4 linked regions of the Nothobranchius furzeri genome follow. The protein of the gene in region 4 purifies or fractionates together with the protein of the main gene of each other region. This does not show direct contact. Links are inferred from orthologs where the notes say so. Each region holds a gene or a part of one and is shown on either strand. Other genes may lie near its edges. The genes, in order: aqr, sf3a1, plrg1 and xab2.

Region 1 (6,235 bases), on a different chromosome or scaffold from region 4:
CAAATCAGAAAGACTGTGGAACACAGCTGGAACATCACACGCTATTTTCTCAAGTCTGTATTGATGTTTTGAACAGGTCAGCACAGAATCTAATATTACCGCTCAGCTGCATCAGCATCCATCTTATCAAATTTCTTCTTGATTAAATTCCAGAACTTCTGCAGCTTTGGGACTTTCTTCAGCTCGTGTTGGAGTCTGGACTGCAGGCGTGACAGAAAATTAAATAATAATAAAAAAAAGAGAGAATGAGATGGTTTAACTGTTGATTAGTGTCAGAGACAGGAGACAGGTCCTGATAGTGAAATGACTCGGGGTGCCAATAACCCCCAGAGAAACTTCATTAAGGCAGGAAGTTAACATCTTACTGGTAGCAGGCACATCCACATTGGCAGAGAGATGAGCTGCTGCACCTGTTCTCTGATCAAATCCACCTCCTGGGAGGGAGGTGCATGCATGCAGAAGGAGAAAGAGACAAAAATATACAGAGTTATGACAGAAATTTAGCCCTGTGACCAAAATGTTTACATGTTTTTATAGGATACAATCAAAATGCAGCAGGATACTCCATTTAAAAAGAAATTAAACATCTGCATTGTTTCTCTTTAGTCACTCAGCTTTTCAGGATGCCGGGTGGCTGATTTGCTTGTCTACTACTGCCACCTAGTGGGCATTACTAATAACTGCCTTAACAGTGAAAATTAGGTCTGAATATTCATATCATATCATTTTGTTTTGATTCTAATATATATATATATATGTATATAAAACCCTAGGCCAACTCCAGAATGTATTTCCTGAGCAGAATAGCCCAGGATGTGATGGTGCTACACACCAGACTGTTGAAGCAGTGGTCCAAGAAGACCAGGAGAACAGTTTGCTCCTTCAAAGTAAGGTCAGTCTCGTCGCCTGCCAACACAGCTTCCATCACACACTTGAAGAAGAATGGGAAATGTTCGGGCTTCTTCTTAAAAACCTAATAATCATGACACAAATGCATTAATACTGTGTTAAATAATCACCTCTGCTGTTAAGTATGGTAACAGAACCTTTACGCAGAGCTTCATTTTCTCTAAGCATGATGTTGTTGTTTTCCTTACCTCCCAAGCTGGAACATTCTCTCGGAACTTTTCATTGACGATGCAACAAATGGACATGATGAAGGCTTTGCTGGACACCTCGGGCGTGTAATTTACCCAAAGGTAATTTTCCAGGTATTGACTGAAAGAGGAGGAAATTAACTATCTGCCCTGCAAATAGTATGGCCACAATTTGATCCCTTCCAGGGGGCTGAATAATCTGCAGAATGAATATATGAAAATGTTCACCTGAATTCAAGCAGCATAATTTTTCTGATGGAAAATCTGAAAGTAGAAAAGATAATAAAAAATAAATAAAAATGCACAAATAGAATATTAAAAAACACCAGCAATGCTATTTATTTATTTACTTACTTGGATGTAAGAATCTCTTTTTCGTACACATCTTCCAAAACCTGAACACACATCATATCATGTTGAAATCATCTCAAGGCAAACAAAAGGCAGGAAAAGCATTACAAGATATAAATAAAAAAAAACATTCATCTCTGTATTAAAAAGCAACAGAACTAATGTAGAACACTACAATTAAAACTGGTGTCTGGCACGCCCATCTGAATCACACACAGCCTACCCTTACACACGCTGACCGTTTAGGCTCTGTGACCATCTCCCTTGGCATCACTAACAGTGAGGAGTTAAACTCAACCTGCCATGTTGCTTGGCCTAAATAAATCCTCCTAGGAAGAAGAAAACTCAGGCCCTGTGTGATTTTCTTTTAAGAAACAGGGCTAATATATGCTACTAGATCAGCTACATTAAAAATGCTGAAAGTAGTCAGCTTTCTTCTGAAGGTAGGTGAAGCAGACTCAAAATAATTCAAGGAAATCTGCAATAACATTATACAAAATATAAATTATAAGAACATTTTGTCTGCGACTGCAACTTGCTGGTAGCAGCACCTATTATTTTAAACAAAGACCACTTTCCATCTTATTTTCTGAGATCTATTGAGCATGGTGGGGAAGTGACTCTAGCTACAGACTTTTGCATGCTATCACCTAGTTAATGAGTGCACTCACAAGGAAACACATGCCTTATGATGTCACAATTTATATCACAGTATGATTTTTTTTAATCACACGTCAGTTTAGATCAGTACTAGGGCTGGACAATAATTCCATAGTTCAATACATCTATTGATAGACATGTGGTGGAGATAAAAAGTTTCCTTTTTCATTATAACCTATCAGGTAACAGCACACTAGACTCACTACATACTCCCAACCAATAAAAACCACAGACTCGGGCACGCTATGTTGCCAGGCCCACCTCCCCAAACCAAAACAGAGCATGAGGCAGCAAGATGTCGCAGCGAGAAGAGGTGGATAAAAAATACCAAAAATAAAATGGTTAGGGGTGTACATAAAATATTTTTCAATAATTATCAATATCAGTAAAAAAAATGTTTAATTTATCGATATACCATTTTTCTCTATCGTCCAGCCCTAATCAGTACTATTGTGGCTGATATATGGCACCGCCCTACTGTCTTGTCATCAATGTGAATGATAAAGACTTGAAATGCCTCTTTTTCACTTTGTGAAATGACTGAGATGGAACGTTGCTGCTTACACCTTTGAGTCACGTTAGCAAAGGTGCAACAAAGCAAGGGTTACTGGCTGCATGTAAATGCACTGGAAATGTACATACCAATCCTGCTGCTGTCACTCTCTGGTTCCACAATGCCAGCTTTGTGTGTGTAAGAGCTAACACTGGAGCTTAATTAGCTTGATTTGTTTAAAATGTATTGGCAAATTCTCCCTTAATGTAGAACCACAGCATAACAGGGACTTTTTTAATGAGAGCAGTGGACAGCATCTTCAGAATAACATGCTGTAACAGCTGTCACAAGCATTAGAGCATCTTAATCACACAAGCATCGACAAGTTTCTCACTGCATATCTACCATGCTGCTTTGTCCGTCTTACCTTAGAGTCAAAAGGCAGTTTATCCTTTGCATGAGGAGCCCAATATTTATTAGCCAACTGAAAAACAGATGCCAAGAAGTTCAAATACAGACATAGACAAAATATATTGATGTTTGTATAGTAGTATATAAATATATATATATATATATATATATATATATATATATATATATATATATATATATATAGTATTAGTAGTGCTTAAATAATACTAAAAAGTAATGAAAACATGTTTTTTTCTGCTTGGTCTAACTCCTATAGAGTCAGTTAAGTTATCTTTATCCAGTACATATTAGGATTAGATAAGGAGAGCAAATATGCGAGTACCTGCGTGACATATTCTGCGTTTATCTGAGACACTGACGGCGCAGCAATCTTTTTAGCGGGAGTTCCTTTTTCTGTGGTGGTCTCCATGTCCAACAGTAACTAGCACAGCTGCAAAAATATACAGTTAATCACTGAAGGGCTGCGATAGCGGTCGTTTCAAAGGAAACAGCTCTGGACAACAATATACGGAAAAATCTAATCCACAGTCCAATGTTGTAACAACCAATGGTTTGTAGAACAAAAAAAGTAGCAGATTTCACATTTACTTTATTTCTTAGTTTCCTGTGACACATTTGACAAAAACACATCAGTAAATGTTAGCTCTCACAATGGACAGAACAGCTAACTGGTTAGCCACGCTTAGATACAGCTAAGAAAGTTCTAGATAAAAACGTTATTATTGCTATTAGTTTTTAACATAACAGCACGAACAAAAAACAAAAATAACATTACTAACCTTTATTATTTTATATTCTCATGAATCGTATGACTACAGCAAGTTAGCCATGTATACAACCACGACGCGCTGTTAGCGTTCCACTTCCTGGAATAGGTACGTCACTAAAACTGTCCCTCATGTACAAAACTGTTTCTTTAGTTCCCTTACATTCCTTGTTCGAATTTGGACATAGAGCGGTAAAATTACACCTAATAAATTCACAGCTCAGCCAATTTTTTACAAAAGTCATGGAGTGAGATTTTTTAATATAAATTTTAATCTCTCTCTCTCTCTCTCTCTCTCTCTCTCTCTCTCTCTCTCTCTCTCTCTCTCTCTCTCTCTCTCTCTCTCTCTCTCTCTCTCTGTGTGTGTGTAGTGAGGATTATCCGCGTATTTGTGAAATGATCAATAAGATGTGATATTCCATATTATTATGGAATATGAACCTTGTTGGTCTTTAATATTCCTTTAGGTTCTCTGACTATTCAGGGAACACACACTTCAGATTAATTCAGACAGAGTCAAGGATATGGTTGAAACAATGAATTAACTAAGGAGGTGGCTTAAATGATTAATGATGAACTGATTAAAATTAAAAACTGATTTGATATAAATAGATTGACACTGAATCTTAATAAAACAAATTTTATACTGTTTAATGATAAAAAAGAACAGTGATGTGTCATTGGAAATAGATGGGACTGCAATTCAAAGAGTAAAAGAAACTAAATTGCTTGGAGTTCTTATTGATGAAGTAATGGGAATCTCATATTAGTTACATAAAAGGTAAAATTGCCAAATCCTTAGGAATATTACATAGAGTCAAGTTTTTACAGACTAATTCTGGTTTGTTGGCATTGTACAATTCACTGATTGTTCCATACTTGACTTATTATTGTGTAGAAATCTGGGGAGCAACATACAAAAACTGTACACAACCCTTATTTATTGTACAGAAAAGAGCTCTGAGAATCATCAATTATAGTGGCTGTAGAGATCCATCGAACCCATTGTTTATAAAATATAAATTACAGAAATTTCATGATTTAAAAGACTGGAAAATCTTACAAACCATGTATAAAGCCAATTTAGGTACTCTGCCAACAAACATTCAAGGGATGCTGAAAGAAACTGATGTGTTTACAAAACCTAGATTTATAACAAAAATTAAGGAGTGGAATATATCTGTAAATGGTGTTAAATTATGGAATAGCCTTAAAAGGGAAATAAAAAAACTGTCATTTAATTTATTCAAAAAATGTACCAAATTGAGTTTACTAACTAATTATGAAAATGTAAATTAAATCAATGATCATGATCACACTGGAATTTAGAACAGGAAAAGGTTTAAAATGAATCTGTATGTGTGTCTGACAAATGGTAATTATGTATAAATTGATTATTTCTACTGAAAAAGGGGGCAGAAATTATTAAATGTTTTTCTTCATTCTGCTCCTTTTCGTTCAAATCAATTTTTTTGTTATGTCTTTCTTATTGTTTATATGTTTTATTTGTTTTTATTTTGAATGATATAAAAGAAAAAAAATCTATTTTCCTAAACTAAGTGATTATACATGACAAAATATGGATGAAATGATGGAATGTAAGCTAGATGTTTTAGCATAAACTTGTAAGTGTCAGAGAGATGTTGTGATGTCTGGGTTGTAAAATCAGTTTGACTGTATGGTTTCACAATACTACGAATAAGAATACCTTTATTAGTCCCTCAGTGGGGAAATTGTGGTATTGCAACAGCACAAGTACTGTAAAGTAAAATAGAAGTAGTACACAAAATATATCACACAAAAAGGATGTAAATATGTTACTTAGAATTGAAAAAGTGTTGAATTCTGAGTTTGATAGTTGTTGCACATAATAATGATTGTTGCAGTAAATATTGCACATGTATTGAATGGTGATGACAGTAGTGGCATTGTTACAGATAAACGAGTTGTTACAGATAAACGAGTTGTTACAGATATATGAGTCGTTACAGAGATCAGGAGGTGGTTTTGCTGACACCAGTCCACGAAGTTCTGTGTCAGTCCTCTGTGCTCCACATCATCGTCCTCTGTGATCAGGCCAACAACTGCAGAGTCATCGGAGAACTTCTGCAGAACACATCTGTCCGTGTTGTGTCTGAAGTCAGCAGTGCACAGGGTGAACATAAAGGGTGTAAAAACAGTCCCCTGAGGGGCGCCCGCACTGCAGTTCAGCAGGTCAGGCACACAGTCCTGGGCTCTCACAAACTGGGGCTGGTTTGTGAGATAATGCAGAATCCCCTCTGCCAGGTGTAGGTCCACCCCCGCCCTCTCCATTTTGGCTTTCAGAAGCATCGGCTGGATGGTATTAAAAGCACTGGAGAAATAAAAAAACATGATTCTCAGTGGTGCCGGACTTCTCCAGGTGAGTCAGAACGCGATGTAGGAGAAAGGTGACCA
Region 2 (6,038 bases), on a different chromosome or scaffold from region 4:
TCAGGGAAAAAAGCTGAACTATTGGTTAAATAGAAACATCTGTGTAAACCCACCCAAAAAAGCTAAAAATAAAAAATAAAGACATTAATAATTAAATAAAAATAAATACATCTAACACCAGCAAATGTCAATCAAAACAAAGAATGAAATAAACATGTAGGAAAAAGGAAAACATGTTTATTAGTGTTGAAAAAAATATCCGTTTAGAATGGGAAATGCCTAAAAAATCGGTCATAAAACTTATTTAAAAGCAGTTTTTCCTTTTCAGGCCTTTTTGATTTTATGTTATCAGGTATGGATCCTAATGTTTGTCTTTGAAGTAAGCGATCTCTATCTCCAATATGTTGCTTTTAAACAACATTAAAATATAATACGATGAATAAATGTTATTTGCTTCGACATAATTCAATGTGGAGTGGATCATTCTGGAGAGAAAAGTTAACGTCCGAGTCCTTGGGTCTCGAGTTATGCGGCTTTAGGGTACTCTGGATATGGTCGTATATGTAGAATAGTTAAAAGTGTAATTGTATTATTCAACACATTAAAAAAGTCCAGATGCTACATAGCAAAAATATCGAAACTCTATATTTTTGGTTCAATAGTTTAACGAAACTGTAAGTCTTGCTAGCTTGGCAGTTAGCTTGTGCTAACTTGTAGCATTACCTTGTTGTTGGGCTCCGGCTGAACTATCTGAACAGGCCCAGGCGGCATGGTTAGGTCTGCCTGTGAAAACCGATTGATACCTGAAACATACAACCCCCAGGAAGTGAATTTGCAATTTCAATGGAATTTCATACAAACATCCACATTAAAATCACAGCAATGCAGTCCAAACCTTGAATTTTCAGATGGTTCAACACTTGCTGCGTCGCGCGCTCGTCAGATAATGGAGGTGTATCACTTCCGGAAACAAGCTGCAAGGCATTGTGGAACTTAGAGTTTCATTTGCCGTTTCCACGGATACGTGATGCAAATGAGCTCGACCTTTTCATCGCATCGAAGACAGAATTAAACTAAATCTGGGGATCATGAGTGAGCTGTTAGGTAGTCAAGACTGCATCAAAAGCCTCCAAAAAGATCTGGCGGACATCCAAGCAGCCATCGTGGACGTCTTTTCCAGAACAGGACCGGTCAGCTTTACCTCTTGGAAGTTCCCTGACAAACTCTCCTGTAATGTGGACATGTTGGCTCTGCTGGAGGAGTACGACTATGTAGACGGAGAGGATGCCTTCAATCAGCACTCCCACATTGTTTTACTGGAATTAGTGATTGACAGGTAATAAAATGTGTTTTATATGTTATGCATTGTTACCAAAGTAATTCTATTAACATTTGCCTTTCTCCTTTTCTAAAAAGATTATTGCTACTTCTACAAAGTGTTAGTGTTTACAATGAGGTGCCGAGAGGCAGACAGAGAGGAGAGCAAACCCAGCAGACAACATACTTGTCAGTTGGACTCGTGGTCAAGAACTACTGTGGGAATTTACTCCTATCAGCCAACAAAAAGGTAGTATTAATGTTAGAAAATACAAAATACTCTAAAAATTGCATTTTAAATGAAAGATCTGGATACTTTTATGCTTTCTTTTTCACAGGAGCCCTTTAAAGATACAAAGCCATTTGACTCCAACAACACAAATATGGTGCTGTCCAACCCTGCTATAACTAGCTCGAAGACTGAACTTAGTAGCTTTTGTGCATCTGCCTTGTCTTCAGCAAGCTCATTTGATTTTGTCCCACAAACTAACAACACTCCATGCTATCCTAAAGCTGAGCAGCATCATGTGAGCTGCCAGACAACAAGTTCGTCCCTTATTCCCTGCAGCGCTTGCCATCAGGTGCAGTCCCTTTTGAGAAACACGGGAGATGCATTGATAGATCTGTTACAGAGTGAGGGTTTGCCCTCATCTCTGCAGCCTCTCGCAGCAGCTATGGAGGACATTGTGGGTGACATGACATCAGGCGATGTAGCCCAGTGGGCCGAAGAGCAGCTCCGGGACACGAGCCGGCTGACCAAACATCTTAAGGATGTCCAGGGTACTGTGCAGCCTCTTGAAGAAAGAATTGCCGTAGCTGAAATGGAACGTGACAGTTTCAAATCTGAGCTGGAAAGTGCACAGAAACAATTCAAGCAAGAGCTGGAAAAACACCAAATAAACTCTGTCCAGCTGGAGTTTTCTCTACGGAAAGCACAGAGATCCTCAAAAGAAACAGAGCAAAGGCTACAAAAGGAGCAACAACAGCTGAAGAGAGGTAGTTAACACAATCGGTTTTATAACAAGAATGTATTGACATCATAGTTTTTACTATAAATATTTTTCACATTTTTGTGACAGAAAATATGTCCCTGGAGGAGACTAATAACAGACTAAAGGAGAAAATAGCACTGCAACATGACAGCTTACAAGTGCTTGGTAATGAGATGCAGATTCTGTCATTCAACACATCTACAGTATGATGCTGCATAATGACGATTCATTTGCTGGTAGAAACTGAAAAGAAAGCACTCCATGAGAAAGTGAAGAACCTGCAAACAGAGAAAGAGGCCTGCTGCAGACTGCAGGAACAGATCCAACAGCTAGAAACTCAAGTTTCTGATGCTACATTTCTTCTTGACAAGGAGAAGGCCAAGTACAGGAGCGCCTGTCGTCAGCAGGAGGTCAGTGTCACTGTAAAGGCCAGCATAGCTATAAAGGGGATCCTTCACACTGTTTTCAATATAATTGTGTATCCAGTCAATGCTGGCAAAGCAAAAGTCGTTGCTGGAAAGAGTTGATGCTCTCGATGAAGAGTGCGAAGAGCTGCAGAGGGAGCTAGGAGAGAAAGAGGAGGAACGGATCACCTTACACAATCAGATGTCAAAGGTGGAGGAACAGCAGGCTCAGCTCATGCAGCAGCAGGTATATATGTGGCCTAAAATGCAATACAATTGTACTGTAAATGGCCTTAGTTATAATAAAGTCTGTTTTGTTCTTGTTCTTCCATCAGAATTTGTGTGAGGAGCTCCAGAAGGAGAAGCAGACATTAGAAGTAAATGCGGATGAGTTGAAAAAGCAAGTGGCTGACCTGACAAGGCGTGTGGACTCTTTAAAGGAGAGGGAGAGACTGCTGGTGGCTTTCCCAGAGCTCAACAACTGGTCCCAGGCCCAACCTCAGAGTAGGTTGCTACTGAATAACATTATCTGATTATATTTGATTAGATTTATTTCCAGTATAATAATAGCACATGACTTTATTTACATTCTAGGTACAGGAAACTTGATTTTGGATATGGAGCAACAGCTTCAAGCAAACAGAATTCGTATAAAAGTGATGGAACAGGAAAATGCTACTCTGCACAAAAGTCTTGAGAAATTGAAAACAAGAGCTCAGCAAAATGCCTGCAGGGTATGGATGTACACAAAGGAGTTTCATGTGAAGTAGATCATGCACCGTTGGGATTATTATAACTCATTTGTAATGTATGTGTCTGAATAGGAACCTGCACCTCTGCAGACATGAAGCCAGTTTTATTCCTTGGAGTTTCATGTAAAAAACCAGATCAACGTGGATGCAACTGACTAAATAAAAACCTTATTGTTGAAAAAACTGAGCTGACATGTTTTACTTGCCTTTATTAGAAACAGCGTTGGTTGCTTTATTAATCCTCGTCAGTGCTGCATTTCCTGTTTAGAACACGTCAGCATAAAGGTCTCTGAGCTTGTTCTCTCTGTTCCCAAACTTCATCTTGTGATGTGCAGGAAATGCGGGGGTCAGTGAAGATATGCAAATGATTCTGTTGCGGCCTTTTACCACCCAAAACGAAATAATTCCAACAAAAGGCCATGGGTGGCAACCAAGCCCCCACAATGCCGCTCAGAAAATGGTCCCATCCCGGAAGTAAGAAAAATTGCAGTTCCACCCTCATCCGCTGGGGGCTGGTGCCAGAAGCGAGCAAATCCTCATTGACTCCCATGTTAAAAATGCCGATTTCACAGCAGAAATAAACATGTTTACAGCCTGGTGCCAAAACATGTTTTTTGTCTAAATTATCTAGTTTATACTCATGACAACTCTGAGGGGGGTGAATTTTTTTCTCACTCTTCTGTTTAAGTGTATTGAAAGCCTAAAATTCTGTATAATTAATGAGCATCCAACACACGTGACCGCCGCCTCAGACCCACGTGACCACAGAGCTAGCTCCGTGGAAAGGCCTCAGTACAGCCTCGGTCTGGCTTGGAAACTGCTCCGGCATTTTGAGTCTCTGTGTTTGTGTATTCTTCTTTGGATATTATTGGTGCAATTGTTGGACAAAATGACTTGCAGTGGTATTAATTGCACTAATAGAGCGTCCAAGGAGTCTCCACTTCATTTTTTTCGGTAAGTTAAAATCTATATTCGTATTTTATGTCACTGCTACCTTTAAACTAGCTGAGTTTACCGAAGTAGCTAGCTAACTATCAGTTTAACATGTAGCATGTACTGTTTAACCATGAAATTTAAATGTAAAATACGGTAAAATAATTAATAGGGCATATTTAGATGGGTAATAGGGTAAAACCCAGTGCATTTAAGATAAAAATGGGTTGAAATATGACGGAGCGCTAAGAGGGAGACTTCTGTGTCCATTCTTCCATCCGGTAATCCCCAGCGGTCAGGCCGGGCAGCCTGGACGATCCGGCGCCTATTTGCTGCGCCTAGCTGCTGCGCGGTCTGACCGCTCGTGGAGTTTTTCATGTCTGACTTTAACCGCATCTAATACTGTATTACGGCGTGAGCGCAACAGCGACAACTTAATATCGATGTGTAAGCAGCCTGAGTGGTAGGGTGTTTTCATCTGAACCCTCCAGCAGGCTATGCTGCACTATTGACGTGTTAGCGCGCGGCGCTAACAACTTAGCAACGTGACATGTCTCTGAGAAAGCGTAAAACACGGACGCTTCTTCTGAAGCGGAAAATAACACCTCTTCTTAAGCAGAGCAGGATGTCGCCTCGGCTCGTTCACGGCCGAGCCGGACTGAGCTCGATAACATTGACCAAGCACAGCCACTGGGTCGTTGTAGCTGCCACCAGGCCTGCTGAAGGAACTCCAGCGGGTTTCATCAGACTCGTAAAGTTTCTTGTTTTTGCTGGGGATTTCTGTATTTTACCGCTCCCTCCTGCAGTCTTCCCCTATTAAAATTTAAAATGTGTAACTTTATGTATTGTGATGAATGACTAATATTCATGTTAAACTGAAACGTTAGGCATTTAGGGGGAAAAAACAAAATAATAAACATTATACAGATGTCAAATAAATCAAACTGTAATTAAACTATATATTTTCAAAGTCATATAGACAGCATGATGGTTTGTGTGATCCGCGCGGTTTCACTTACACCCCTTTAATGATCAGGCTGTTTTTTATTATTTTTATCAGCTGATAGCAGTTAAAATTATGGTAAAAAATACTTTTATCTGTTTTTGATAACTTAATGCCCAGGAAGAGCATCTTCCTGGGCATTAAATATAACCCAAATGTTTTATTATGAGCAGATCTGATGAAGGTTTAGACAAGCAGTCTGCAAAGTAAAACTTGTTTAGAGTCCAAACTCTTACTAAAGCTTTTGAAAAGAAAAAATGGTTGAATTTTGAGAAATATCCACAACAGGGGAGCGAGACCTCTGAAAAATGTATATTTTCTCTGAATTCATAGAATAATGTGAAGATTCTGGGAAAAGTTGGGATTCTGAGATTAAAACGTAAATCTTTCTAATCATAATTCTGGCAGTTTTTGTGTCCTTCTGCTGTGGAAAGTCGTGCAACATGAAGATACTGAGAAGATGCTTACAACCTGTATTTTTATTCCATCCATAAATAAAATCATGAGCTATTTTTTTAATCCAAATTTGATCCAAAGGGCCATCGTTGGTTCCAGACCCGTTCTAGAACATTCCTCTAATCTTAAAGTCATCATCAGTTTCTTCCTTTTAACAAATATTTATTTGTTCAAATATTTAATATTTATAACTGGAATATTTGTTCCTCCCTCTCCCACTGCAGTTAGTCCTGTCCTGCAA
Region 3 (4,804 bases), on a different chromosome or scaffold from region 4:
TCAGTTTTCCTTTCAAACAGGAAGTGGGAGTGGAGTAAGACTGTGGTAGGGGGTGACTTGCTCTTTAATTCACGACTGGTTGTAACTCAGTAGGAAATGACATCGGCAGAAATTGCCCAAAACAACCTGTATTTGTTAAATTGGAAGACTTACTGGTGAAGCACAACGGAAGGAAAAGAAATTGTTGTTCCTAAACCCCCAAAGGCAAAATATTAACACCCCCCCCCCCCCCGAATGGCACTGTTTTGTGGTCTCCTGCAGGATGATGTTAAAAACTGTTTCCACTCTCCCCCTCACTGTTTGCTATCTTTATCGAACCACTAGCGGCAGCAATTAGGCAAACAACAGATATTAAAGGGATAAAGTGTAAGAAAATAGAACATAAGATCAGTCTTTATGCAGATGATGTTTTACTCTTTCTCCGGAATTCTCAATCCTCTCTCTCCCAAGCAATAGAACTGATAAACTCTTTTTTAAGAGTTTCCTCTATAAACTGGTTAAAATCCACAGTTCTACCAATTAATTTCTCTTTTGTCAATTTACTTAATACACAATTGGAGTAAGGGAATATCACATACCTGGGAATTAATATCTCTCCCAAGTTAGCAGATCTAACCAAACTAAACTACATCCCACTTTTAAAGAAAGTGGAAGATGATCTTGCAAGATGGAAATCCTTACCAATATAACTCATGGGGAGAGTTGCTACAATTAAAATGATGGTCTTACCCAGAATAAATTACTTATTCTCGATGATCACAAACAAACCACCAGCTGACTGGTTTAAATCTCTGGACTCCTCAATTACTAAATTCCTTTGGCAGGATAAACCTCCACGAATTAGCTTAAAAACGCTTCAGAAGACCAAAGATAGAAGAGGACTGGATCTACCCAACTTTTATTATTTTTCTTAGCCAACAGGCTGCAATATATACCAAGATGGTTGCAAGATAACCCACTAGATGAGTCCTGGTTAGATATGGAACAGACACTTTGCAATACGATAGAGCTTTCAGACTTACCATTTATTAGCTCAAGCATAAGAAAACATGAAGGCTTCAAAAGTATTAGTATCATCACCTCTCTGACAGCATGGTGGGAGTATCTTAAAATGACAGAGTCTACACTAGTACCATGCAGACGCACACCTATCTGGAAAAATCCTGATATTTTGCAAAATAACAAAATGATGAACCTTCCGGACTGGAAAAATAAAGGGATCCTATACCTGGAACACATATATGAAGGACTGGACTTCATCCCATTTAATAGAATAGTCTCCCAATTTGGAATGGATAAGAATAGCTTTTTAGAATATCACCAAATTAAATCTGTAGTCAAACAAAAATTTAAACTCAATAAAGCCAATCAATTGGCTAACGTGAGGACTTACTGTCTGGGGTGCAGCACCAGAGTTCGGACAGATTTCTTGTGGTTTGTCAGAGTTGCTCTGGTCTTCCCAGCGATCAGATCCCAAAGCCTGATGGTTGCATCGTGACTGCCTACACACACACACACACACACACACACACACACACACACACACACACACACACAGTTTTGTCACCTGCAAACATGAAACTGCCTGCTTAAAACCTGAACTCTTGACACTTTAGATCAGCTCTACCACAGAATCTGTGTTCCTTTAAATCAAAATGAATAAAAGACTTCTGAAGTGATTTATAATATAGTGTATAAAAATTAATCTCGTGCATCACTCGGGCTCTTATTTTGATAAGGTGCACCACAGCATTCATGGTGGAGTGTTTCCCCAAGTCAACAAGTCATCAAGTTAAATAATGATTTCACCAATAACAAACACAATGGAGACCAAGCCCCCCCCCCCCAAGTGGAGCAGCCATAATCACTGTTATTGGCTTCAAATCTACTCACCAGTGATGATCTGTGGCTCTACAGCCTGACATCTGACTGTAGCCACCGTGTTGGTATGACCAGTAAGTGTGTGCACGTTTGCTTTTGACCTGATGTCCCACACCTAAAAGCACAAAGAAAATCCAGTCCCAGTCAGGATTGGGATTAAACAAGACAGAGGCCTAATCCCACCAAACTAGAACCATATTGGTCTCATGGTTTAAAACAACACACACATTCCCTTTCATCTCTAGGTTACACATCACTGATGTTTTCCTCCTCCTCAGCTCGGGTGCAGAGCGGCACACACGCACTGACAGCGACGTTTTCACTGGGGAGAGTTGCAAAGCGATTCCCTGCCAGGACAACAGAGGGCGTCGCACCACCACTGCAGTCACATCTCTGGTCCAGGATAGCATATTAACTGTAGTTTGTGTTTGTATTGTGTGTTTGTGTATTTCAGAGACGTTCTCTTCCACCTCTTCATGCAGTCGCCACCTCTACACCCACATTTCCCATCAAGCTCCAACACAGCCCAAACTAAACTCACCCTCGCTGAGGCGTCTCGGCTGCATGTCACAAGCACATCGATGGTTGGATGTAGATCCAAATCATACACAGCACTGAGGTGGCCATGGTAGTGCCTGATTACCTGGAAGACAAACCAATGCTGTCGTGAGGCTGTAAAAATACCACAACTGCTATAAATACACAAAACCAAGTTATTTTAGATTAAATAGAGTAGTAAATATGCCTGTGGTACACAGGTCTGTACTAGAAACCGGTGTGTGTTTCTGTTATGATGTTAATCTTTCATATGCTGCTGACATGGTGAATAGCTCAGACAAGGTCTGGAATGTGGGAAAGTGTTTCAGCGGGGGACCAAATTAACTGCTCCACAGTCACACCAAAGTAAAGTAAACATTTAGCATGCTAAGTGTGAAGCTAGAAGAGGTAGCAGGACTAAAACTTATGTTTGTCTGTCATAAATCTGCGTTGTTAATGCACTAAAAACACAGAACATGTTGTCTACATGCAGTTTCACACCGATATTGTGTTTTGGGCACTTTTGGTTAAGGCCAGGCTAGCTTCGGTTTGTTCAGCTCTCTGCTGATTGGCTGCCAAGGCTTTGGGGTTGGACTAGTGCACCAGGAAGAATTGGCGGCTGCCTGGACCGATTCACAGCAAAGACTACGCCTTTTTTTTTATGTACAATCTTTCGAAACCTGTAAGTGGTCAACATGTCATGCTGGCCATTACCAATATACTTTAATGTATAATGTATACAATTCTAAATGCTTTCATTACTCTGATGTTTGTCTTGCTAACAGATGTAGCCTAGCAAACAACCTGTTCGTAGCAGGTGCTTTTTGGTTCAGACCGACTCAGGGTTTATGTGGAGTGTAGCGTGGGGAAAAAAATGCCCTCAAATACCGTAAAACTGATGCTTCAACATAGAGCTGGGCAATAAATCGAAAATTTATCGTTAAAGAAATTTCTGACTCTTATCGAGATCATTGTTCCCATGTCAAGTAATTTGATAATAAAAATGAAAATATGTGTAGGTCGGCAACATTCATGTCCCTTTAAGAAGCTGTTCCACCTTGAGTCACGTAAAAGTGTGAGTTAAGGTGGTACATGTGACAGCCCCATCTAGTGGACAACTTTTGTTTCTGCGCAAACCTGTAGTTATCGTCCATTTATCGTTATCGAGGTGAAATCCTCACTATATCGTGATACTGATTTTAGACTGTATCGCCCAGCCCCAATTCAATATGAAAAATGTACCATGCCGCCCAGCCCCAGTTGTACTAAATTTGCACAAAAACTCCTTTAAAAAAACTTCCTGATGACCCTGAGCTAATCCAAACAACGTACCTTGTTGTACTCCAGATCCCAACACTTGACCTGTTTATCTTCTCCACAGGAGAAGAGGTACGGACTGCGGCTGCTCACTGCTACACCACGAACGGTACTGATGTGTCCAGTCAGAGACAACTTCAGCTTCCCACTGGCCAGGTCCCAGATCTGTAGAGACAACCACCTTCCAGTTATCTCTGGATCATCACAGAAGCTTTAACAGCAACAGAGCCACCTTGGTATCACTCCCAAACGTTTTAACCCTTACCTAACATTAAAGCATTTTTTTGTGCTCAAATGACATTAACGTTAGAAAATGTAAACGTTGGGTAAGGGTTAAATACTGAAAGGATTTCTTTTTAAAAAACTGTATTGCAATGTCTGCACCTACACAAAATACAACAACCTGAATGTTTTACCAGCTCTAGATCAATAACAGCTCTTTACAGAATAGGAAAAACTATTTGGTGGAGAAGATGAAGTCTAATAACAAATCTAGACAGGTTCAGTCCTCTGAGACTTGTTACCATTAGAGACAAAAAGTAGCTTAAACCTGTTAATAAAGAATATAAAAAGCAGTTTAAAACCCTAGACCATTACTGATCCCTCTATCAACAGAGCTTTACTGCTTATATGTATTTATGGAGAATGAATGAATGAATGTAATAACAAACACATAAAAGCTGGTGTTTTACTCAGCCCGCCCGACCTTTATAGTTCTGTCTGCTGACCCCGTGACGAACCACTGATTTCCCGGTTCCACGGCGATGGATCTCACCCAGCCGAGGTGTCCGCTGATAACCTGACAGATAACGGTCACCACAGTTAAACAAGGCAGCTTCTAATTATTAATGTTGTAAACAAATGCAAGACAACTTGTGAAACAGTTGTTACGAACCCGAAACAGTTTCCACGGTGGATGCCACTGAGGTTTGGGCATTGTTGGAGCTCTCCTTATGAGCGCTGAGTTTCTGGTGCCACCTCCATCTAAGAGAGACTAAAAGATATACTTCAAAAGGTCATTAAGGATTTTTTTTAAGTAGCATGAAAGACTTATGAGTAGAAATAAACT
Region 4 (6,090 bases):
AGCTCCATTTCTCCATATTCACACCAGACTGCAGCTAGGTCATCTACCTGCTTGTAGTTCACTTTGGTAGCCTTCTCAAAGATCGTTCTAGCCTGTTAAAAGACAAATCAAATAATTAAACCACAAACATTTACCTTGAATTCAGGAGATCGATGTGTTACTTGTGGAAGAACCTCACTGGCTTACATCATCTAGTTGATCATTTTCCTCATAGAATTTTGCAAAAGAAACCCAGAGAGAGTGAGGCTTTCCAGTAGCCTTCATTGAATCCACTGTCTGAACAGCTTCTGTGTACGTGTTGATGATCTGCAGAGAAGAAGTTGTGCACATTACATTGTGGTTTCAGAAAATTGTTTTGCAGAAATGTGTACAGGAGAAAAACGTTACCTGCCGCGGGTTTCCGTCATAGAGTTTCACTCGCTTGTGCCACTCATGAACATTATGTGGGTTCTGCCTCAAAAGTACACTGTTCAGCAGAAGAGGACGCCGAGCTATCAGCTGCTCAAAGCGCGCCAATCTGAGCTCCAAGTCTATGTCATCTAGAGAACGGCAACACAAAGGCATTCATAAGAAGTGTGTTCTTGTCGATGTTCAATCTTTTTCACTCTTAATGAAAATGAACAAACCTTCCTCCTCCTGACCCATCTCGGCGGTAGTCTCCATTTTTGCAGCAATCATGCTCTCCTCAAATTGGGCATAGCTGTCAAACACTTGTGTGAAATCCCTGACTGTTACCACTGTGAGGATGGCTTCCTCATACACATCCCTTGCCTGAGAAAACAAATCGATCAGAAAAAGTTGAAATAGTTAAAAGAGTTAAATAACTGACTAAAACTAAACACACTACTTATGAATAGTGATTTATGAACATTAATGAACACTCTTCAGAGGAAACACACTTTCTCAAAGTGGCCACTTCGAATGTAATAGTCAGCTAAAGAGCACCAAAGCTTTCCAAGTTGGTCTGTGAAGCGTGTGAGACCTCCACGTATGATGGCTCCAACATTTAGAGAGGTCACTTTATCAGGATTCTGAGAGATCAGGTCACATAGCTCATGCCACAGCTGGAAAAACCAACAACAAAAACTACAAGTTAAATAAGGGCTGTGAGGGTTTTCTGTAAACTTATTGCGCACACACACACACACACACACACACACACACACACACACACACACACACACACACACACACACACACACACACACACACACACACACACACACACACACACACACACACACACACACGGTATTTAAAACGACAATAAAATCTTACCTGATAGTTGGACTTGCCCTCTTTGGACACAAAACTTTCATCATTAACAACTGCTGCTAGTCGCACTGCTGCTTCATCCAAGCGACCAACAGACTTTAAGTAGTCAATGTATTCTTCTGCATTCTCTGGAGAGAGCTACAAAAAAGAATGTCTATTTTGATTTATGTCAACAATGGGGTGACCATATTTCCATTTCCCAGAAAGAGGACAGGGGAACTGTGCCTACACTATGCCAAAGCTGTCAGAACACCTGGCTTAGAGCTAAAATTAATACGAGACTCCGCCAACAAAGTTGCTGCTTTAGTGCTATAATGCTATATTAATAGGGAATTATTAAACATCGCATTTACTACAGCATCATTACAGATTAGACAATCAGATCAATGAAAAACAAAGTCTGTCACAGACTCTGTGGAAACCTCCAGAGAATCCACAGTTAGTGGCTTTCAAACAGGTTTGTTACTGATGTATTATTGAAAATTTGGAAGAAGCAGACGAGACAGCATGTCCAATTTTGTTTATTCGTCAGACAACTTTAGAACATGTCCCTAATATCAGAGGTCTTTTTACTAACACTGTAAAATGAATACTCCTGGACAGGGTATGAATTACACAGAGGCTTTTGGGGGGGCCATGTGACATGGAGTGGGGGTGTTCTATTTTACATTGGCCCCCAAAAGGCCTTGAAATGGCCCTGGGTGTGGGACTGAGTTTTAAAGGTGATCTGAATAGTATTAAATATATACATATCATGTGCTTATAAATTACTGTTTTATACATAAGGGGGATAAATCTATCTACACTTTCCTTTACAAGCCTTGTTTGTTTTCTTGTTATATATTTGACTGTTTTTCTGTCCCGTCCGTCTCCGATATTCCTGTATCTCCTCAGTCCTCCTGAAAAACTGCTGCCTAGCTTCTTACTTTTTCACTTCATGAGTTTCTTTTGAACTAAGCAGATCAAGGAGATCTACTGGCCACAAAAAATAAAGGAACTGAAATCACCGGAGCACTGTGGCCGAACGCAGGACGCAGCTGCCTGGAGAGCAACCAGTGCTCTGCCGCTCTCCTTGTTCTCTGCTCAAAAGAATCCCCAGTATGCTGAGAGTTCATGTAAATAAGTAATGTAGGTAGAAACAAGATCTTTTTTGGGCTCTCCCTGGATATGTAAGATATCCAGCTCCTGCTTAATTCAAACCCTGCTCCTGGATGAAAAACTGGGCATTTTAATCAATATAGGAAACCACCCCATACAGAGTGAAAAGTGGACATGTCTGGGAAAATAGGTGATATAGTCACCCTAGTCAACAAATCTTTACCTAAAATTTGAAGTATAATCACATTTTCCTGTACCCAAAATAATCCTGATGAAGGCGACTGAATTAAAGTACACTATCGAAACAAAATGAAAAGTAAACCCAAAAGTAGTAGAGAAGCTCATCTTCAGCTGTTAACAGGCAAGACATGGGTTGAACCGATTGCCAGTCCATCACATAACATCTGCTTAACTTTTAAAAACAGAATTGTACAGTAGAATCTCACCTTGAGGTACCTCCGATAGACCCGGATGGCTGTCTCAGGTAGAGGCAGGTTACGGACAAAGCGAAGATATAATGGCCAGATGCGTGGATGCTGAGTAACAGGCAGGGCTCTCAGTGCACGGTCAAGTGTCCGTCGACTTCTAGTAATCTTGCACTGGGACACGAGGAACTGGCAGTAATCAAGCCATATCCTAGGCATCTAGATTAAGTAAAGATTGATTGGTTAGTTATAAAATACAACTCCCACCTGTGTTTACAGCTAAAATGTTTCTAATTGAGTCATCAGTACCTTGTGCATGAACACCAGTGCCCTTTCATGACAATTATTGACCTCTTCATACGTGGGCTCAGTTATACATTTCCCTTTGACTTGTTTCCTTCTCTCTCTCAGGTAATTGTACCACAGTTTATAGCTGTAAAGGTTAAGAAGTTGTTAACAAGAGATAGAACACAAGAACAGATTCAAGCTCAATGTCAGTGTATACAACTAAATACTTATGTTTATTTATTTGGCAGACGCTTTTATCCAAAGCGACTTACAATTTATAACCTACAGGGCATGTTGTGATCTTAAATGATGTTAAGTCACATTAGTAATGTTTGGTAAAGGTTCCAGCTTACTAAAAATCCCCAGATACATCGTTGCTCTTGGAAGTTGCAACGTGTGCTCACAGCGATTAAAATAACCTCAATGTTCATGTAACAACTTTTCTTTATGTTACCTTCCAGGTAGTTCCTTCAAAGCGCGCTCATATATCATGTTGAGGGTGGCTTTGGGTCCATTCTGTTTGAATTCAAGGTAACGCATCCAACACTTGACCGAGTACGGGTTCCTGATAATCTCCTCTTCATAAGGAAGGTCGTCATCCTCCTAAAGAGGGAAGCCGTAACGAATCACAAAACAGTGATTTTCTGTAAAGCTAACAAATGTAGCGCGAAAGCGCAGTATTTCTTCAACAGCATTCTACATGTATAGTACATTACGTGCTTCAGATAAACAATTACTAAAGCTACGTAACTCAAACATAAAAACGTTTGTTTGACTGCATATATTTCACGTTTTAATGGTAAATATGCCATGCTCTCTATCAGGCTAGCAATGCGTAAAAGTTATAGCTTGTTGTAACGAATACTAAAAATATGCTTTAGCGTGTAACTCACAAAGATAACATCCGCTTTTCCATTTATGGAAGGCATTACTTCGCAGAGAACTAAAACATATCCACTTTAAATAATCCTAACTTTAGAAAAGCTAAGCTAGTTTGTGGACTCGAAACGTGAAGCTCTTCGTAACTTCCGGTAACGAAATACGCACGCGCAACACAAAAGGACTACAACAACCATGAAGAACTACGAAGGTTAACATTCTTCTTCTTGTGTTTAATCGCGTTTAGTAAACGACTACCGCCACAGACTGGTAAATCGTGAGGATTACAACAGTAACTCCAAAAGCCGATAATGCAGAATTGCAGCACATCGCCCTCTACGGTATAACATTTCATATCCTTTAAACTTGAATAAATGAATGTTTGTTCTGATTTTACATTTCTATTACACTTTTTTATGCTTACAGATGATAATTCAAAATAAACCAAACCAAAACAAATAATAAATGATGATAATAAAGCAATAATTATAATATTTTTATTTAAATAAATAATTACATACAGAAAAAATAAATAGAGAAGAAAAAAACCTTTTGTACTTGCCTGAAGCCAAAGCTTTTTCGTGCTTATCTTGCATGATGCACTATCATGCTCAGATGTGCAATTGTAAAGCAAATATTATCATAATTTAATAAACAGTCAAAAATGAAATATTTACATTTCTTAGTTATTTTTTCTTTTATTATACAGAACTGTCAATTATTGCTGCTATGCAAAATCAAGTCAATGTGTTCAACATGGTGTAAAATAAAAATTCTAAACTAACTCAGCAAAGCTATCGTGAATTTTTTGCAGCAAGCAATTTAATGTAAAAGGTTTTGAAAGATTTTATATTAAAAAACAACAGTGTTGTCTTGTTTCCACCCAGTTCACCTAAATGAAAGTAAGAAATCCCCTATGGACAAAGTATGTGTCCATCAATCAAGTCAAATGACAGATTAAAAGTTTATTTAGACAAAGAATATTTTTTTCCCAAATAAGGTCTGTTTATTAGCTTTTCAACAGTAGTTAACACAATTCTTAAACAGAATGAACAACATATAGACTGAAACTGTTTGGGAATTAGATTCAGTGCTGCATTATAGGTGCTGGAAAGGTGAAATAATTAATGAGCATCAGAGCTTTGTGACTTCAGAGCTAGCGGTGAGGCCCAGGCTTGCCTCAGCCTGGTTCTCACATTAATAGAAGTTCGGCCATTTCGAATCTCTGAATTTTAGCTGTGTCTTCTGTGCGTTCATGTTTGGATGTTAATTATGGGACTATTTGGACACAAAACTGTGGTTATTGACTGCACTAATAACAGATCACCCAAGCAATTTCTGCTTCTTTTCAGTAAGTAAAATTATATTTCTGTACTTTATTTTGCTGGCTGAATGCGGGAAATGCTGTGTCATTTAATTGTTTGGTCAAACATGTTAGTGGGGCTGCATAAGAAAATTGAGCGGGTGCCCGGCTTCTCCTGTCTCTTGCCCAGGAACAAACACTTGCTGGAGCAGACATCTGGCTGTTCCAGTTTCCCGAGGCAGCCGAGCCACACAGACCATCTCAGATGCAAGGCTGTAGTCAACTAGTCACATGTGGATCTCTGAAGGAGACCACAGAAAAACCGCAACCCTTTAAGTTGACGCTGCTTCACTTTTGAGTCGCTCAGCCGCATACTGAGAGTGTGGACTTGTCTCCCGGCTCCGTTTCGACACAGCGCCAGTAGTCGAGTTGATGCTGCCAGTGCGTCGACAATGGCTGACTCACAGAACTTTGACCGCAGTGGACCAGAAAAGCCCGATATTCTTGGTCAGCTTAAATGATTTAGTTACTAAGCAGGCACGAGGATCCTTCACTTTGGACTTGCTCTACCATGTTTTCCTTGCTAAAAACTTGAGAAACCTTCTCTGGATCCAGATGACCTAATAAATTATAGACCAATATCTAACCTTACATTTTCATCTAAAGATTTTTAAAAAATAGTGGCCAATCGATTATGTGAGCATTTAGACACTAATGGTCTGTTTAAGAAATTTCAGTCTGGTTTTAGAGAGTATTGGTGTGGGAAGCAAGCTGACCAAGAGAGTCTCTGACTTCGGGAACCAGCTTGTCTGGAGCACAGAT

The links.
Region 1: the proteins of xab2 (region 4) and aqr fractionate together in Homo sapiens (co-fractionation; 3 studies listed by BioGRID and IntAct, with this or other methods). This does not show direct contact. The link is inferred for Nothobranchius furzeri from reciprocal best matches to the Homo sapiens genes XAB2 and AQR.
Region 2: the proteins of xab2 (region 4) and sf3a1 fractionate together in Homo sapiens (co-fractionation; 3 studies listed by BioGRID and IntAct, with this or other methods). This does not show direct contact. The link is inferred for Nothobranchius furzeri from reciprocal best matches to the Homo sapiens genes XAB2 and SF3A1.
Region 3: the proteins of xab2 (region 4) and plrg1 purify together in Homo sapiens (affinity purification with mass spectrometry; 3 studies listed by BioGRID and IntAct, counting the BioPlex papers as one, with this or other methods). This does not show direct contact. The link is inferred for Nothobranchius furzeri from reciprocal best matches to the Homo sapiens genes XAB2 and PLRG1.

What each region holds. Positions count from the first base shown.
Region 1 is NC_091758.1:25,986,040-25,992,274, forward strand, and holds the start of aqr (RNA helicase aquarius), read right to left. Parts: upstream 3,930-6,235; 5' UTR 3,813-3,929; intron 3,464-3,812; 5' UTR 3,443-3,463; coding exon 3,356-3,442; intron 3,086-3,355; coding exon 3,029-3,085; intron 1,493-3,028; coding exon 1,452-1,492; intron 1,362-1,451; coding exon 1,326-1,361; intron 1,219-1,325; coding exon 1,098-1,218; intron 974-1,097; coding exon 833-973; intron 435-832; coding exon 366-434; intron 201-365; coding exon 100-200; intron 1-99.
Region 2 is NC_091757.1:36,508,552-36,514,589, reverse strand, and holds the start of sf3a1 (splicing factor 3A subunit 1), read right to left. Parts: upstream 3,827-6,038; 5' UTR 3,612-3,826; intron 3,593-3,611; exon of another isoform or gene 3,502-3,592; coding exon of another isoform or gene 3,478-3,501; exon of another isoform or gene 3,424-3,477; coding exon of another isoform or gene 3,248-3,423; intron 3,158-3,247; coding exon of another isoform or gene 2,989-3,157; intron 2,901-2,988; coding exon of another isoform or gene 2,736-2,900; intron 2,660-2,735; coding exon of another isoform or gene 2,490-2,659; intron 2,415-2,489; coding exon of another isoform or gene 2,337-2,414; intron 2,254-2,336; coding exon of another isoform or gene 1,596-2,253; intron 1,508-1,595; coding exon of another isoform or gene 1,357-1,507; intron 1,277-1,356; coding exon of another isoform or gene 1,029-1,276; exon of another isoform or gene 964-1,028; intron 959-963; exon of another isoform or gene 836-958; intron 744-835; 5' UTR 712-743; coding exon 664-711; intron 1-663. Other genes in the region: ccdc157 (coiled-coil domain-containing protein 157), read left to right, coding at 1,029-1,276, 1,357-1,507, 1,596-2,253, 2,337-2,414, 2,490-2,659, 2,736-2,900, 2,989-3,157, 3,248-3,423. UniProt on the Homo sapiens protein: Component of the 17S U2 SnRNP complex of the spliceosome, a large ribonucleoprotein complex that removes introns from transcribed pre-mRNAs.
Region 3 is NC_091744.1:17,226,305-17,231,108, forward strand, and holds part of plrg1 (pleiotropic regulator 1), read right to left. Parts: intron 4,730-4,804; coding exon 4,631-4,729; intron 4,535-4,630; coding exon 4,442-4,534; intron 3,901-4,441; coding exon 3,751-3,900; intron 2,525-3,750; coding exon 2,423-2,524; intron 1,997-2,422; coding exon 1,894-1,996; intron 1,503-1,893; coding exon 1,394-1,502; intron 1-1,393. UniProt on the Homo sapiens protein: Involved in pre-mRNA splicing as component of the spliceosome. Component of the PRP19-CDC5L complex that forms an integral part of the spliceosome and is required for activating pre-mRNA splicing.
Region 4 is NC_091745.1:2,821,413-2,827,502, reverse strand, and holds the start of xab2 (pre-mRNA-splicing factor SYF1), read right to left. Parts: upstream 4,139-6,090; 5' UTR 4,016-4,138; coding exon 3,980-4,015; intron 3,690-3,979; coding exon 3,541-3,689; intron 3,232-3,540; coding exon 3,108-3,231; intron 3,018-3,107; coding exon 2,820-3,017; intron 1,414-2,819; coding exon 1,279-1,413; intron 1,065-1,278; coding exon 900-1,064; intron 772-899; coding exon 627-771; intron 540-626; coding exon 388-539; intron 307-387; coding exon 187-306; intron 93-186; coding exon 1-92. UniProt on the Homo sapiens protein: Involved in pre-mRNA splicing as component of the spliceosome. Involved in transcription-coupled repair (TCR), transcription and pre-mRNA splicing.